3 linked regions of the Arabidopsis thaliana genome follow. The protein of the gene in region 2 purifies or fractionates together with the protein of the main gene of each other region. This does not show direct contact. Each region holds a gene or a part of one and is shown on either strand. Other genes may lie near its edges.

Region 1 (3,406 bases), on a different chromosome or scaffold from region 2:
TTGAAACAGACGGGTTGGAGTTGAACCTGACCGTTGGATTCTTTTCTTCTCTAAAGTTTGAAGAACCAAAATTGTAAAATTTAGTTATTTAAATTTAGCTTGCCAATGTTCATCAGTAAGCTTGAAATTCAGTAGACAAATACTCAAAACTTTTCTTATCACTCTCTCCTAGTATGCCCCCTTCAAGTTGGTGTCAGCCTCAAACTTGGACAATGGCTTACTAGACAACTTAAGCTTGCCACTTTGTCGAACGTCGCAGTTTTCGAGAGCATCTAAGAGATTGACAACATTATGTGTTCATGAAACACAAGGTTACAAGAAGTATGATCTTGTGTTTACTAAATAGGTTTGATCTAACCATTGGTAAGAGTCAATTTTGGTTCAGTATCTGCAATAACTGATATATTTTATATCACCAGTTGGTAGCTGTTGTATTCATATGTAGCAAGCAAGCAAAGTAGAGAAGGATAATCAAACTCAACTTAAATATAGAAGTCTTGTTCAAAAGACAAGCAATGTCGAAAACACACTACTGAAAAAGCAACAGATCATCAAGTTTCATAGACCCAAGGGTGAACGCTGCTCTGCCAGTTGACAGGTCCATCAGGGAACCACAAAGCAATCTCCTTTCTTGCACTCTCGACAGAGTCACTACCATGGATCACGTTCCTGCCAATGTCAATAGCAAAGTCCCCACGGATAGTTCCAGGCTCAGAAGCTGCTGGGTTGGTAGCTCCAATGATCTTTCTTCCGGTCAAGACAACATTCTTTCCTTCCCAGATCATAGCAACAACAGGGCCGGATACAATGTAGTCAACGAGTCCACTGAAGAAAGACTTTGAAGATAAGTCTTCGTAGTGCTTCTCAGCAAAAGATCTCTCTACACTGATCAACTTCAGACCTGTATAAAATACAAATCTACACTGATCAGAAACACAAGACTAACACTCTTATCTACCAAATTACATAATACAAAAGGTCCAGATAATAACAAGTTCTTATGCACAGATACTATAATCTAAAATCTATTAGACAACACAGAATACTTGTCAAGTCAAACAAGTTTTACTAAACTATTAGTGTTCAGAAACTAGACCAAACCATAAGCAACTATAGTGTCATTACAATCTCAATTCAAGTAACAAAGTGACTTTAATTAGATCTAAGACCTCTAATTATAATGTAAAATCAAGTTTGGTAATCGAAATCATTACCTTTCAAAGTGAAACCCTTCTTCTCAAACCTGCAGATGACTTCACCGATCTGAAAGAAAAAAACACAAACATATCGATCTTTTAAGTATAAACAATCCAAAGAACTGAATACAAAACCAAAATCAGATCAAGATCAACAAGTATGTATTAAGAGAAAAGGGAAGCTTACGAGTCCTCTCTGGACGCCGTCAGGCTTGATCATAATAAAAGTTTGCTCCATTGTTTTCTTATTACTTGTGATTCGTAGGAGGCAAAAAAGATTTATATAGAGTCCGCACATGTAACCCTAATTCTGTTGAAGAATATTCTAACCCTAGAATATTTGCTACAAATTATTGGGCTTCCCTTATTATTATGTTAGGCCCAATTAAATAAAATATTGGGCTTCATAAAAAAAACACAAATAATATTTTTTTGCAACTTAATTATTTATGTCAAACAAACGTAGATTAATACTGTGATATTAAAAGTCGTTCGCAATATAACTCTTGCACGTGTATAGATTTTGCAAATCATATAAATCTGTACATGATTATTAAAATTACGTCGTTTTGAGCCTTCTTTTAACAAAAAAAACGGCTTTTACTTATTATTATTTTAAGGTTCAATTAGTTATAAAAATTGGATTTTGTGCCAAAAAATTCTCTAAGTAATTTTTTTTGTAACTCAATCATGTAAGTTAAATAAATGCAGGTCTGCGATCTCAAAAGTCACCTATAGTATATCTCTTAGACGTGTATAGATTTTGCAAACCGTATGTTTATATATAGGTTATTAAAACTACGTTGTTTTGAGCCTTTAAACAAAAACGCAAAATAATGTTGGAAAATAGATTTGAACGCATGGCATATTGAACTATTCAAAGATTACTTAACCAATTGAGCAGAGTGATTTTGTTAACTTTACAAACCGATTAATATATATAGTTTAAACATGAATCGAATACAACAATAACATTATTTCAGAATTGTAAACATAAAACTTGACAAACAGCGCGAGCGGTTACGATCGGATCAAACCCAAGTCTGAACACGCTCAATTCTTCCACCCACGCCTCGTCTCAGAGCTTTCCTCGATGAAGAATAGATTAATTGCGATGAGAATGAGCCCTTGCTTGCTCTACAAATTGTTGATGATGGCCAAAGATAATGAAATCAGTGGTGATAAACAAACTAGTTCACGTGAATAGAGATTTCGGATTGCTAATAAACCTAATTTCCTAAGAAGATGAAGAAACCCAGAATGCAATGTTCACAATATATATTTATCGGTATGCAATATCAACAATAAATCTTGCAGCACAATTGGTTAAGTGCATTATTTAGTATTATAGGTTATTGGTTCCAATCCACTCTAGTAATGTATTATTTTCCGAAAAGATGCTCAAACGACGTAGTTTAATAACTTATATACATACTTATACGGTTTGCAAAATCTAAGCACGCCCAAAGATTATATAAAATCTATGCACGTGGTTATACTGTGGGTGACTTTTGATATCAGAGTATTGACCTACATGTATTTAATATGAAAGGTTATGTTGCAAAAAAAAATATTTTTGAGGGTTGTTGGCACAAAACCCTAATATATTTGTTAGATTTGGATTAAAAGAGTTTGATCACACCACTTTGATGCATTCTCTCATGTTGAAGATATACACAACACATTTTCTAAACAAAAATTGTAGTTTTAAGGATTTTATTTTTTATAATATATATATCAAGTATATGAATTGATATAGAAACTATATATAAGTACATAAATTATTCGATGTAGCCAATTACTTCAAAAATTGATAAAATGATCTCAAACACATTTTTTAATAGAGCAAAGTTCTCTTTCTCCATCTCTTGCTACTCAATCATTTTGTTGTATCTACTTTATCATCTATTCGCATAAATTTGTACATAACCACTTGTTCTTAAAGATTATTTCTCATCACATTCGAAAACACTGTCGCTAACACATCTTGCCTAACTCTTTTAGACCTTCAAATATGTATTAAAGAAAGAAAGACAAGTTTTCTACATGATGAAAGTTTGCTCCATTTTTTTTGCTTGCTTATGACCCATGGGAGGCAAAATGAGTTATATATAGTCTCCACAAATTTTTAACTCTAATTATACCGAAGAACATTGTAGAGCTAGAATATTCGCTGCATTTTTAGTGTTATTGAGTCTTCACTTATTATT
Region 2 (6,904 bases):
TATGCATAGCTTTTTCGAGAAAACAAAATATATTGCACGATTATATAATCAAATTCTTTTTTTTCTCACGTTCATATATTATGTATATGAATATGATTTATACGACCACTCAATTAGTCACATGTTATTGATACTTGACAGAACTCATTATGTCTGAATTTGGATTTGAAATATACTGATAGGTCAATGATACAAATATTTGATACTAAAACTCAAAAGAGAAAGAAATCGAGTATAAGAAAGATATACTTACACGAAATAAAGGATAGTGTGGTTTAAGTGGAGTAGAAAGTTGAATGAAGCTTCGTTCTAGATATGGAAGGTCCGGTGGGAGAATTAGGGTTGTGTACGACTCTAACCAAATCTTTGGGTTTCCTTGTTCCAATTCTCTATATTCGTTTCGAAAGCAACACATACATATATTGAATCTTCCATTTATTCTCTTTCGTTTTCAAGTTCGACGTCTCTCCCACTTTTCAAAAGAGAAGTAATAAAAAATGGCTTTCGTCCATATATTATGGTATCATGCATTGAAAACCATGCAACATCAAACCAAAACACGAGAGGGTGCATTTTCATGAGTACCCATTTGAAGTAATTAGACAACTCTGAGATTTGTCAATGGATGGTCGTAGCATGCTTTGAGGTATCAATGAACTTAGATGTTAAGAGAGTATACTCGCCAAAATACGGAAACAAGAGAGAACAAAACTGAGAAAGCCAAATCCGTACAAGTATAAGCCTCACAACAACTCAAGAAATCAGTCTTGGTTGTTCAGAATTCTGATGAGAAATACAAATTCTCCCTGAGACTAATTATTCTTATAATGTAACTTGGATAGTATAAGAAGAAAACATCATATAGACGAAAAGGTGAATGGTTTGAGTCGTTGAGCTTGACCCTTCTTATGTTATGACGGTGGGGGCTGATCGGCCTGTGAACTCTTCCATCTTCGACAGCTTTAGAGCTAAGTCAACCTGTGAATCACACATCAACAATTACGTATTTGATTAGAGAAAACCCCTTTGGTATTAGCTAAATGGTAATGAGTCGGAAAACAGTTTATGGATTTGAGGTTTTATAGTAAGCAACTGACCAGAGGAGACAAAGCTTCCTGGGATTCTCGGCCGGTTTTTGAAGCATCCTTTTCGTACTGTTCGATGTAAAGCCGGATGGTTGCTCCTTCTGAGCCAGTTCCAGAGAGACGGAAAACCTTCATATGGTTTCAGATATAACAAGAGAGGATTAGTTAGTTTTGATTTCTATCACTTTGTTCTTAGCTGGAATGTATCCAAGCTCAAATACCGAAGAAAAAGATGACTTACAAGTCGTGATCCGTCTTCAAACAAGTAACGGATTCCCTGGTGCTTCGAAATGGATCCATCAACTGGATCTTTGTACTCGAATTCATCAGCACTGGCGACGCTTGCCACGTCCGAACGAATTCCTTTCACAATCCTGAATAAAATCAAGAGAGAAGAAGAGGTTAGAAAAACAGAGTACCAAACTGATGAGTACGTGTTCAAGTATAAAAGGAAGGGATTTCAGAGAAGTGGAAGTGTGTGTACTTGTTAACTTCAGGAATTGAAGATTGCAATTTGACCAAATGCTCCATCAGTTCCTTAGCTTTACCTGCGTCTACATTCTTTAGAGACAAATTTTGAGATGTCAGTAAGGGTACTGTTTCTTCCATATAATATGGTATAATTACAATCACCAAACTTAGCAACTTTTACCTCATAGTCGTAACGAGTGTAATAGTGACGACCGTAGGTAGCCCAATGCTGGCGGACAATGTCTTCAACTGACACCAGTTTAGCGTTACCGTCAATATTTCCCTTGTTCTTGTGAGCAAGTATAGACATCCATGCAAGAACTGCCCATATTCCGTCTTTCTCACGGATATGATCCGAGCCTGTGAAAGATCTTTCTTTCAGAACTGTATAGGTTGTTTTAAAGTTATGAACAGATGTGTGAGTGTGGAAATAGAAACTGACCAGTTCCAAAACTTTCTTCTCCACAAACAGAACACATCCCAGCATCCATCAGATTACCAAAAAACTTCCAGCCTGTTGGAACCTGATATGTGATTTAATAGAGATATGAAATTAAATTATGTAGTTAGGAGAAAAGAAGCTGGATAGAAGTTGCACGGTGACATGTACCTCAAAGAACTTCAAATTCAAGCTTTTTGCAACGACATCAAGAGCAGCTGAGGTTGGCATGCTCCTAAAACAAGAAGTGGAAGTTACAAAATAATCCACAAAAAAGATATATTAAAAGAGTTGTATACACAGAATTCTACTAGAAGTAAAAAAAGAGCCCAGGTGTATAATACCTTGCAACACCTTTCAAACCAGAGCTGAAGTACGGGATGGCACCAATAGCATTTGCAGCAATTATGGCAACTGAATCCGAAGGAGTTACAAAGAACCTACAAATGAAGAGATACTTTAAGTTTAAAAGTACTTGGTATACTAGTTCCATGGATGTATCTCTCTTGAAAACGTCAGTAAGCTACCTTTTACCAAGGATCATGTTACGGTCTGCATCACCATCAGCAGCGGCGCCAAACTCTGGAGGTTCACCTCCAGTGTCGGATTTACCTAATCCCATTCGTGCCACAAGCTCCTTAGCATAGGTCAAATTGGGATCCGGATGCCCTCCTCCAAAGTCCTCCTGCAAATCGTTGTATTGTGGTAAATATTGAGCCTGGAGGTGTATTTGTAATCATTTATGGAATAGCGTTTCTTGGTTAGACAAAAATAAGACCTTGGGAGTGCAGTTCAATAATGCGCTTTCTTGCGCACCGAGTTCTTCGACAAAGATGCGATGTGCATAGGCTCCAGCAACTCCATGCAATGCATCATAGCTTCATAAAACAAAGTAAAATATAACATTACAGTGATGGAACATATATTACAAAACTTAACTCAAATGGAAAAGGTTTGGGAACCAATGTTAGTTACATACCAGAATGTAAACTTTGGAGATGATAGCAATTTCCGGATGGCTTCAAAATCGAAGATTGACCTTGAAGGAGCGAGAATTTTTCTTTAGAAAGATCATAAAAATTGCACATAGACCATAGAGGGAGCAGATTCCAGAATCATGCTTTTAAATTGAGGGACCACTCACTTCATTAATTTAACGTAGTCATCTGCGGGATCAAAAACTTCAACATCAAATTTTCCTTCAGGTCCTTCAAAACTGGTTACACCAACAGCAGAAATATCAACCTGTCGCATTCATCAGATAGACCAGATCAACTATGATTCAACAAAAGACAGATGATGGAAATCTATAAGAGGATTCTTAAGAATACATTGGGTAGATCTTGTGCTATTGGGTACTCCTTGATTGTCTTAGTGTTCTCGTAAATTTTATCAGTGATTGATTCAGGAGCAGGTCCTCCATTTTCCATATTGTATTTGATTCCAAAATCCTGTACAAGGGGTATGGAATCACCTCTTAGTCTTATTATCCATCTAGATATCTTATTATTAAAAAAAGAACAAATAAAGAGATACAAAACGAATAGTTCAAATGAAAGGATAGCACAGTAGAGATGGAACAAGAACAGAACGGACCTCAGTAGGGCCACCAGGATTGTGGCTTGCTGTTAAGATAAATGCTCCAGTTGCTTTCGATCCCTGTAATCGGAGACTGGGGTTAAGTAACTCAAAACCATCATTACATTTTGCGTCATGCACAAACATAGCAAATAACCAAAAAAAACAAAAAACAAAATGTCACTACAACCATGAGCATAGAGAAAGAAATCTCACATCAGCCCCTGATCTTTCACGAATCACAGCTGATACAGCAGGAGTTGATAACAGAGTGTTTTTACCAACCCACACACGTCGTACACCATTAGCTGCTGCCATCTTAATTATGATCTGTTAAGATACAAAATAAAATTGTATGAAAAGCAGTAAAACATCTTCATCTGTAACAGTATGAACCGGATTTGTAATAGGAGTAGATCAAACAAACTTAAGTTTCAGAGATTTCAAAGTCAAACAAAACTTTAACTTCTATAAACCTCTAATCTCTCTATAGAGGTTTCGATGCAAATTTTAGAGATGAACACAAAGAAAAATAAGCAAGGCATTGATGATAATAGCAGGCCTTCCTAACACAGGAGTTCCCTCCAAAACATTGTAAATACATGAGCACTAATTCATAATTCTATGGATACGCCAATTACATTCACACAGATCCAGAAGACAGGGAATATCATCGGCCTTACCTGAACAGCATCCTTTGAGTAATAACGACCATCACCAGAGACCACAAGTGTGGCACCTGCACATATGAACAATAAACACTCATGAATTTTTCGAATGAGCAGATATCTCTGAGAAGCTAAGATGAGTATGAAAAAAATCTCACCTTTAACTTTCTCCGCCGTAAGAGCATTGAATGTTGCTTGGACAAAATTCTCTAGATAATTGGGTTGCTTGAACACTTTCACCTACACAGTTAGAAAAAAAAAAAAAAATACTAATCAGAGATACAAAAAGATGCTAGTTTGATATCTGCAGAGAGTAGAACAAACAATCGACACTCGATTGATTGGATAAAATGATCAACCCAAATTTCTTTTATCAAAATATCTGAAACAGATCTGATCAGTGAGTCTCAATAAACGTCATTGCAGATCGTATATACGTTAAACGAAGATCTGACAATAACAACTAGGCTCTTCCCTAGTTTCAATTATACACAAATTCAATCCATATAGTCTCCATTTCGCTACACCAACTCAAAAAACGTAATTTCAAGCTCTATCAAATCAACATTCACCACATAGAAGCGTCCCAAACATATACTCAAATCAAATATAATAAACGTGATCTCGAACTTGATCCAAATAAAATAACGAAAACGAAATTTAAAATTTGTCATCATTCACTAATCAATATAGATTAATGCATAGATCAAATCTAATCAGATGGTCAATCTCACTTCAAAATCACACTCAAGAAAATCTAAACAGATCTGATCCAGATGCAACAATTCGATTTCGTTTGATTCAGAAGACAAGGATCGATCAACGAACCTTCTTACGAAGACCAGAAGTTCCTGGTTTCTGGCCATCAATAGGAGATGTGGATACGGTAGAAACCTTGAAAACCATATTCGCTTTGAGAAGAACAAAGATCAAAATTTGGACGCAGAGAGAGTGATGATGATAAAAGCAAGCAGCTCTTAAATAAATTACGCAAAAGAGAAGCTTGCTTAAAAGCTAAACGATCCCAAGACACGTGTAACCAAGTGAGTGAACTAGAACGTTTCTCTCGTTTTCACTGACACAGTAAGAAAATCTCAGCCGTTGGATTGTATTTTCAGATTTTAAATTCATTTTTGCTTGCGTAACATTTCAAAGATTAAATATTTGATTGATCATGTGTAATCTCTAGAATATGGTAATAGTAATATACGTGCTACGTAATCCGATTATCTTAATGTAATTAACTTTTCGTATATTCGTCTCACATGACAAATCATACATTATATTATTCTAATTGATTCCAAAATTTTACATGACAATAATCTGTAAAAATGTCTTAAACGGGTAAATTTCTGAGTAACCGAAGAGCTTTCTCCCATTGTGGTCGTTGAGACATAACGATACGTCTCAATACTGGTACAGCTCCTGCTCTTATGATGGCTGTGTGGTTCTCACTGTCCATGGTTAAGTTGTACAATACTGACAAACTCGCTTCAACGCACCGCTCGTTCCTTTCTTCAAGAAGCTTAACCAGCGGTTCGATACCTCCTTGTGAAGCAAGTGTTTGGATAGATTCTGGAACTCCCTCGGAGACTATCTTGTTCAGTTCTAAAACCGCTGCTTCTTTCGTTTCTGGTGATGAGGAAAAGCTCATTTGTTCCACGAGGCTCGGGATCGTTTTGTACAGAGTTACCTCAAGATTGATCGGATTGTTGAGGGATTGAGAGGGAGAGGAGAGAGCGGTGAGTTTGACAAGACAAGCGGCAACCCAGTCTTTGTAGTGTAGAGGGAGGCTTGATCTTAGGATCTTCCTTACTAATTCTATGAAGACCGCGGTATCTATTGTTTGGCGAAAGGACTCGGAGTCAAGAAGTTTTGTCAGTAGCCTTGAAGCAGCGGAAATCGTCAAACCAGCTTCTTCTAGCTTAAGCAGATGTTTCTCTAACTCCTCAGCTTCATTCTCAGGTTCTGCATTTCCATAAAAAGTATTGTATGCTGTTATAAAATTCAAACAGAGTTATATCAAAAGATAAGTTTTGTACCTTCCAGGACTTTCTGCCGGAGAGCAAGATCAAGAACAGTTGTGATATCCTTGGAGATGATCGTGTCCATGTTTGGATTACTGATTATACCAAACTCGATGACAGAGATTGCGTTTCTTAGCAGGTTCGGAGAGGCTGTTTTCGCAATCTGGACGAGCCGAGAAAAAACAGCAGCGTCCAGAACTTCCTTTCTGTTCATTCCCATCCGATGTTTTGAGTAATTAATACTTCTAAAAAAACAAAAAGAATGAATGAGCTGAAGATAGGAAGATCGAGAAGAAGACTGACCTGGAGTCTGCTTTTGATCCGTTCACCGGTCCTTCATAAAACTGTAGCATGTAGAGAAATAGCATAAGCCAAATGAAAGCAGATTTAATGTATAATAATCAACCTTGGAAAATAAACACACCTTGGATTCCATTTCCTTGCTAGGATCTAAGATATGAGCAATTATATCCAGAACCTGCATAACATAGTTCACAAAATACCATTTCACGTCCAGTTATTCCATAATAGCCTAGACAAAGATATCAAAGAACAAAGGAAGAAGAAAATGAAGTCATACGTGTTCTGTAACGTTTAGTGAGATCTCTGGCTGCTTCAGAAGATTAATAAGAAACC
Region 3 (4,869 bases), on a different chromosome or scaffold from region 2:
GGCTATAGAACAGAGACGAGATACAGCTGGATCTGAATCGGAATCAGAAGCGACTCCGTCACCGGCGGAAGAGAGTGGAAGCGGAGAAGATAAGGAAGTGGAGATTAGCGCGATAGGAGCAGAGATAAAAGCAGCGATGGAGCAGAGGAAAACGGCGGAGGAAGAGAAAGGGAAGAACGAGTTTCTTAGTGGAGTTGCGGAGGAAGTGAAGGAGATTGAGTGGCCGGCGTTTCAGAAAGTTCTCGGAACTACCGGCGTCGTGCTCGGTGTTATCGCTGGCTCTAGCGTCGTCTTGCTCACTGTCAATTTCCTTTTGGCTGAACTCTCTGATCGAGTGTTCATCGGAAGAGGTGTTCAAGACTTCTTCAGCTGATCCTGTGAATTGAAAATGGTAAAATTTGTGTGTACAATTTTTAGTGATTGCAATGAGAAATCGAAACATTGTTGATTTGTGTAGATGATGATAAAGAGAATTATCGGAATCACTCCTTTTGAGCATTACCTTCTTCTTATCCTAATCTTATATTTAGCCTGAAATATTGACTTGGGTTATGTTGGTTTAGTTTTGATCATGAAACAGTATGATACTTATGAACAAAGTTACATAGCAAATTTAAACTTCATTAACAAGCAAGTGGTTCACAAAAGAAACAGAGAAAATCTAGTTTGACTTTTATTGGCACACAAGAGAAGATACAGATGGAAGCAAAGACGCAATGTAACTAAAGATGAAGAGTCTCTATAGGAGAAACTGAACATCTCTTTTATTTTGGCGTCTCTTAAGAAGAAATGGAGAATGTTCAAGCCTCGAAGGTCATGGCTTCCGCTTCTTTCCTTGTCGCATCGAAAAGTACCGTTGATAGATACCTCTCCCCGAAACTCGGGAATATCGCCTGTAAAATAATTCAGTTGATTTCGTTTACATCAGAATCAGAAAGAAATCCGGGTTATGTAATCAGAGCTTATTGGCTTTGGGGTGATGATAGAATCAAAGAGCTTACCACAAATAGCTTCCCAGCGTTTTCTGGCCTCTGTGCAAGTTTAATTGCTGCAGCAGCTGCTGCACCGGATGATATTCCCACCTACAGTATAGCTTTTGTTTTTAGAAACAGAACGAAGTTGTAATTCTGATGGAGATAGCTTTTTGTTGTGAAATGTGAAACACTTACAAGAAGACCTTCTTTAAGAGCAAGCTGCCTTGCCATGTCAATGGATTCATCACTTGAAACCTGTTGAAAGCGTTACAGGAAAATGGAGAGAGTCAAGTAAGAAATGAAGCTCTCTTGCATTCAATTGTGTTTTGCTATCAGTCGATAATATCGAAAAGCAGTCTTACCTGAACAACTTCGTCAATAAGATCAACATTCAATACACTTGGTATAAAACCAGCTCCTATCCCTTGAATCTTGTGAGGACCTTGATATTTTCAGCAAACATCATGTGTTAGGAAACTCCGAGGATAAAAAATAAGACATGAGGCAAACCGAGAAACGAGGAACATGCATGCATGGTTATCGTAATAAACGCAGGGGGAACCAAAATCACCTGGCTTCCCACCGGATAGAATAGCACTTTCAACTGGCTCCACTCCATACAGCTAACAGAAGAGGAAACAAAATGAGAAACCGTGCAAAGACACACCACTTAGTCACTTAGATAACAAAGCCAGTTGTTCGAAAAGATGGAGCTCTCACCTTGACGTTTGCGTTCTGTTCTTTAAGATACTTCCCAGCACCTGTAATGGTACCACCAGTACCAATCCCAGAAACAAAGCCATCGATTTTGCCACCAGTGCCTTTCCATATCTCAGGTCCCGTAGTCTCATAGTGGATCTGCATTTGACAGTGAAATTCCATCGACTTAATATGGTTCAAAAACAGACAAAAACAGATACACTAAAGCAATAGTAAATAATAAGCATACCTTAGGGTTGGCAGGGTTCTCAAACTGCTGAAGCATGTAACCATTGGGTGTTTTCGCCAAAATCTCTTCCGCCTTTGCGATAGCTCCTTTCATGCCCTTAGCTGGGTCAGTTAAAACCAACTCAACTCCAAAAGCTAAGAGAATGATTCTTCTCTCAGTACTCATAGAAGCTGGCATTGTAATAATAAGCTTGTAGCCTTTGGCAGCTGCCGTGAATGCTAACCCAACTCCAGTGTTTCCACTTGTTGGCTCAATCAGCACACTCTAAAGAACAAACAAAAAGTCAGAAACAATGAAAACAAAAACAAAATAGTGGTTTGAAGATTCAGATAATCGAAACTGACCTCTCCTGGTTTGATAAGACCCTTCTTTTCTGCATCAGAAATCATGCTAAAACCAATCCTGCAGAAATAAACAAAGTACAAGGTCTTCACAAAACCGAAACTCGAAGCGAGAAACAACACATAGTTTCTGGACTAGAGAAGAAACCTGTCTTTGACGCTAGAGCACGGTTCCATCATCTCAAGCTTAGCAGCAACACGACCAACACATCCTTCAGCAACATTGTTCAAATACACCAATGGAGTGTTCCCAATCAACTGCCAAATAGAATCAATCAATACATGAACATGGAACAAAGCTCACTCCTTCGTGAAATGAACAGTGAAAGAACTTGAAAGCCTTACTTCAGTCACATCTTTAGCAATTCTCGAGGCCATGATTCAAGCTTCACTGCTTAAATTCACAAAAAGAGAAAAGTAAGACCAAAGGAATAAATCATCCTCAAACCAAAAACACATCATACAAAATCATCAAACATAAATCTCCAGATGTATGAGCACCAATCCAGTTATACAACACTCTTAACACCAAATCAACAGATTTAACAGCGAAATAAGCTTAAGCCCATACAATTATCCGATCCAAACAAATATAATCGAAACCGGCAGAGGAATAAGCAAGTGAATCAAAAAGTATGGGACGAGGAAGAAGATGATACCTGAATGAGAAAGTCAATAACCTTGACCCGAATCGTTTTGAAGAAAATGGAGAAAATCGGTTGTATGGAATAAAATCTTCGAATGATGAGATATATGATCTCTTTGGTGTCAGTCACATGGCACACGCTATCAATTTAGAAAAACGCGGTGGTTGGTCACCAGAATTACTACTTCTCGGTCTGATTTGGTCATATCCGTATTAAGTCCGGTTAATATTTTCCATAACTGGGGTTTGAACATTCGGTTTCTTTTTTTCAGTTAGTCCGATTTGGAGTTTTGAGTATGGAAAAATAATACTGAATTTATTTGTTCAAACTGTTTTGGAAAAAATATTTCCCTTAATTACGAATATAATTAAAATTTTAAAATTCATTTTATTAGATCTTGGTTAATTCGGTTTAATGCATTAATGAATTTCGGTTTAAGTCGGTTTTCGGTTTTTATGTCCCACCACTATCTACAACCGATGATCAACCTTATCTCCGTATTCACCACAAACAGTCATCACTCTCACTTGACACAAAAACTCTTTTGTCTCCGTCTCTCTGTCTCTCATGGCGACTCTTCCTCTCCCGACTCAAACTTCTACAATCTCTCTCCCTAAACCTTATCTCTCCAATTCCTTCTCCTTCCCACTCCGTAACGCAACACTCTCAACAACAACAAACCGCCGGAACTTTCTCACCACCGGAAGGATCATAGCTCGGGCATATAAAGTGGTGGTAGAGCACGACGGAAAGACGACTGAATTGGAAGTCGAACCAGACGAGACGATTCTATCTAAGGCTCTTGACTCTGGCCTTGACGTTCCCTACGACTGCAATCTCGGTGTTTGTATGACTTGTCCAGCGAAACTCGTGACCGGAACGGTGGATCAAAGTGGTGGGATGCTAAGTGATGATGTGGTTGAACGTGGCTACACGCTTCTATGTGCTTCGTATCCAACTTCTGATTGTCACATTAAGATGATCCCTGAGGAAGAACTCTTGTCTCTCCAGCTCGCCACTGCCAACGACTAATCATCTTCTTGATTTAGACTAAAGAAGTCTTTTTTTTGGTGTAATACGAACACTTTGTAACGAATCTTGCTATGAGACTTCGAAATCTTGATTTCAATGAGCCAATACAAACAGTGATACATAACATAATCACAGTGAAACATTCCTGGTTTAAGATGAATCTATTAAGTACTGAACTAAATTCGTTGATTGAAACATTAGGAAAGTGAATAGATATGTATAATTTAGATTAATAAACACACAAGGGTAGACTAATTCAGAACCAGAAAGAGTGAGAGTGTTAGCTACAAATGATACGATATAAAAAAAGAGAGATTACAACAAAAACGAGGTAGAGACAAAACGTAGACACCAGAGATCAGTGGTTGGTTACTTACCATCTTCTTTTTTCCTTTGTCATTGTCTAATCAGTAGTAAGCATGCTGAATATGGTGGTGGTGGTGCGGGTGAGGATGGTAAACTGGAGGGGGTGGAGCAGCCACCGGACTGCAGTAGGTACCATATGCTGTCGGATAACTGACCGGAGAGGTTTGGTAAGAACCATGAACCGCCTCGGGTGAGTATTGGTATGGAGGGCTCCTGTTGCTGTAGATGGTAGGTGGGGATGTGGTGTATGCTGGTACACCGTATTGAGGTGAGTGACTTTGGGATCTGATGAATGTTGGTGGAGGCGGTGGGAAAGAGGAGACGTAAGCGTTTGTGATACGCCCTGCTTTGGCTGGTGGCATTGGACCGCTGTAGCTTGCTCGGGTTCTCTTGTTGGCGGGAATCACGGCTGGTTTTCTCTTCTCGGTTTTGGTCTTCTCTAGCTGATCCAACCTCTTCTTGAGATTCTCGGGTGGGAATTCTTCCTCGAGTTTGTATTCTTCTATGCATTTTAAGACTGCTCTAAGTGCTGATTGCTCTTTGCGCGCCACAAGATGCTA

What was found. The genes of interacting proteins can lie anywhere in the genome.
Region 1: the proteins of PGM3 (region 2) and NDPK1 fractionate together in Arabidopsis thaliana (co-fractionation; one large-scale study listed by BioGRID). This does not show direct contact.
Region 3: the proteins of PGM3 (region 2) and OASA1 fractionate together in Arabidopsis thaliana (co-fractionation; one large-scale study listed by BioGRID). This does not show direct contact.

The regions. Positions count from the first base shown.
Region 1 is NC_003075.7:5,921,512-5,924,917, reverse strand, and holds NDPK1 (nucleoside diphosphate kinase), read right to left. Parts: upstream 1,435-3,406; coding exon 1,384-1,434; intron 1,264-1,383; coding exon 1,215-1,263; intron 902-1,214; coding exon 552-901; downstream 1-551. UniProt on the Arabidopsis thaliana protein: Major role in the synthesis of nucleoside triphosphates other than ATP. The ATP gamma phosphate is transferred to the NDP beta phosphate via a ping-pong mechanism, using a phosphorylated active-site intermediate.
Region 2 is NC_003070.9:8,218,189-8,225,092, reverse strand, and holds PGM3 (Phosphoglucomutase/phosphomannomutase family protein), read right to left. Parts: upstream 5,286-6,904; 5' UTR 5,148-5,285; coding exon 5,070-5,147; intron 4,482-5,069; coding exon 4,400-4,481; intron 4,313-4,399; coding exon 4,257-4,312; intron 3,904-4,256; coding exon 3,790-3,903; intron 3,655-3,789; coding exon 3,592-3,654; intron 3,447-3,591; coding exon 3,327-3,446; intron 3,241-3,326; coding exon 3,140-3,240; intron 3,035-3,139; coding exon 2,975-3,034; intron 2,874-2,974; coding exon 2,774-2,873; intron 2,681-2,773; coding exon 2,523-2,680; intron 2,436-2,522; coding exon 2,340-2,435; intron 2,231-2,339; coding exon 2,167-2,230; intron 2,081-2,166; coding exon 1,999-2,080; intron 1,917-1,998; coding exon 1,738-1,916; intron 1,647-1,737; coding exon 1,570-1,646; intron 1,460-1,569; coding exon 1,327-1,459; intron 1,215-1,326; coding exon 1,098-1,214; intron 979-1,097; coding exon 907-978; 3' UTR 546-906; downstream 1-545. Other genes in the region: AT1G23180 (ARM repeat superfamily protein), read right to left, coding at 5,578-6,209, 6,284-6,474, 6,572-6,612, 6,693-6,746, 6,849-6,904. UniProt on the Arabidopsis thaliana protein: Catalyzes the reversible isomerization of alpha-D-glucose 1-phosphate to alpha-D-glucose 6-phosphate. The mechanism proceeds via the intermediate compound alpha-D-glucose 1,6-bisphosphate.
Region 3 is NC_003075.7:8,517,409-8,522,277, forward strand, and holds OASA1 (O-acetylserine (thiol) lyase (OAS-TL)), read right to left. Parts: upstream 3,189-4,869; 5' UTR 2,924-3,188; exon of another isoform or gene 2,729-2,923; intron 2,659-2,728; exon of another isoform or gene 2,656-2,658; 5' UTR 2,643-2,655; coding exon 2,610-2,642; intron 2,523-2,609; coding exon 2,413-2,522; intron 2,326-2,412; coding exon 2,268-2,325; intron 2,188-2,267; coding exon 1,924-2,187; intron 1,833-1,923; coding exon 1,695-1,832; intron 1,598-1,694; coding exon 1,546-1,597; intron 1,417-1,545; coding exon 1,337-1,416; intron 1,230-1,336; coding exon 1,170-1,229; intron 1,083-1,169; coding exon 1,002-1,082; intron 894-1,001; coding exon 801-893; 3' UTR 552-800; downstream 1-551. Other genes in the region: SECE1 (secE/sec61-gamma protein transport protein), read left to right, coding at 1-373; FdC1 (2Fe-2S ferredoxin-like superfamily protein), read left to right, coding at 3,479-3,943; AT4G14900 (FRIGIDA-like protein), read right to left, coding at 4,351-4,866. UniProt on the Arabidopsis thaliana protein: Acts as a major cysteine synthase, probably involved in maintaining organic sulfur level.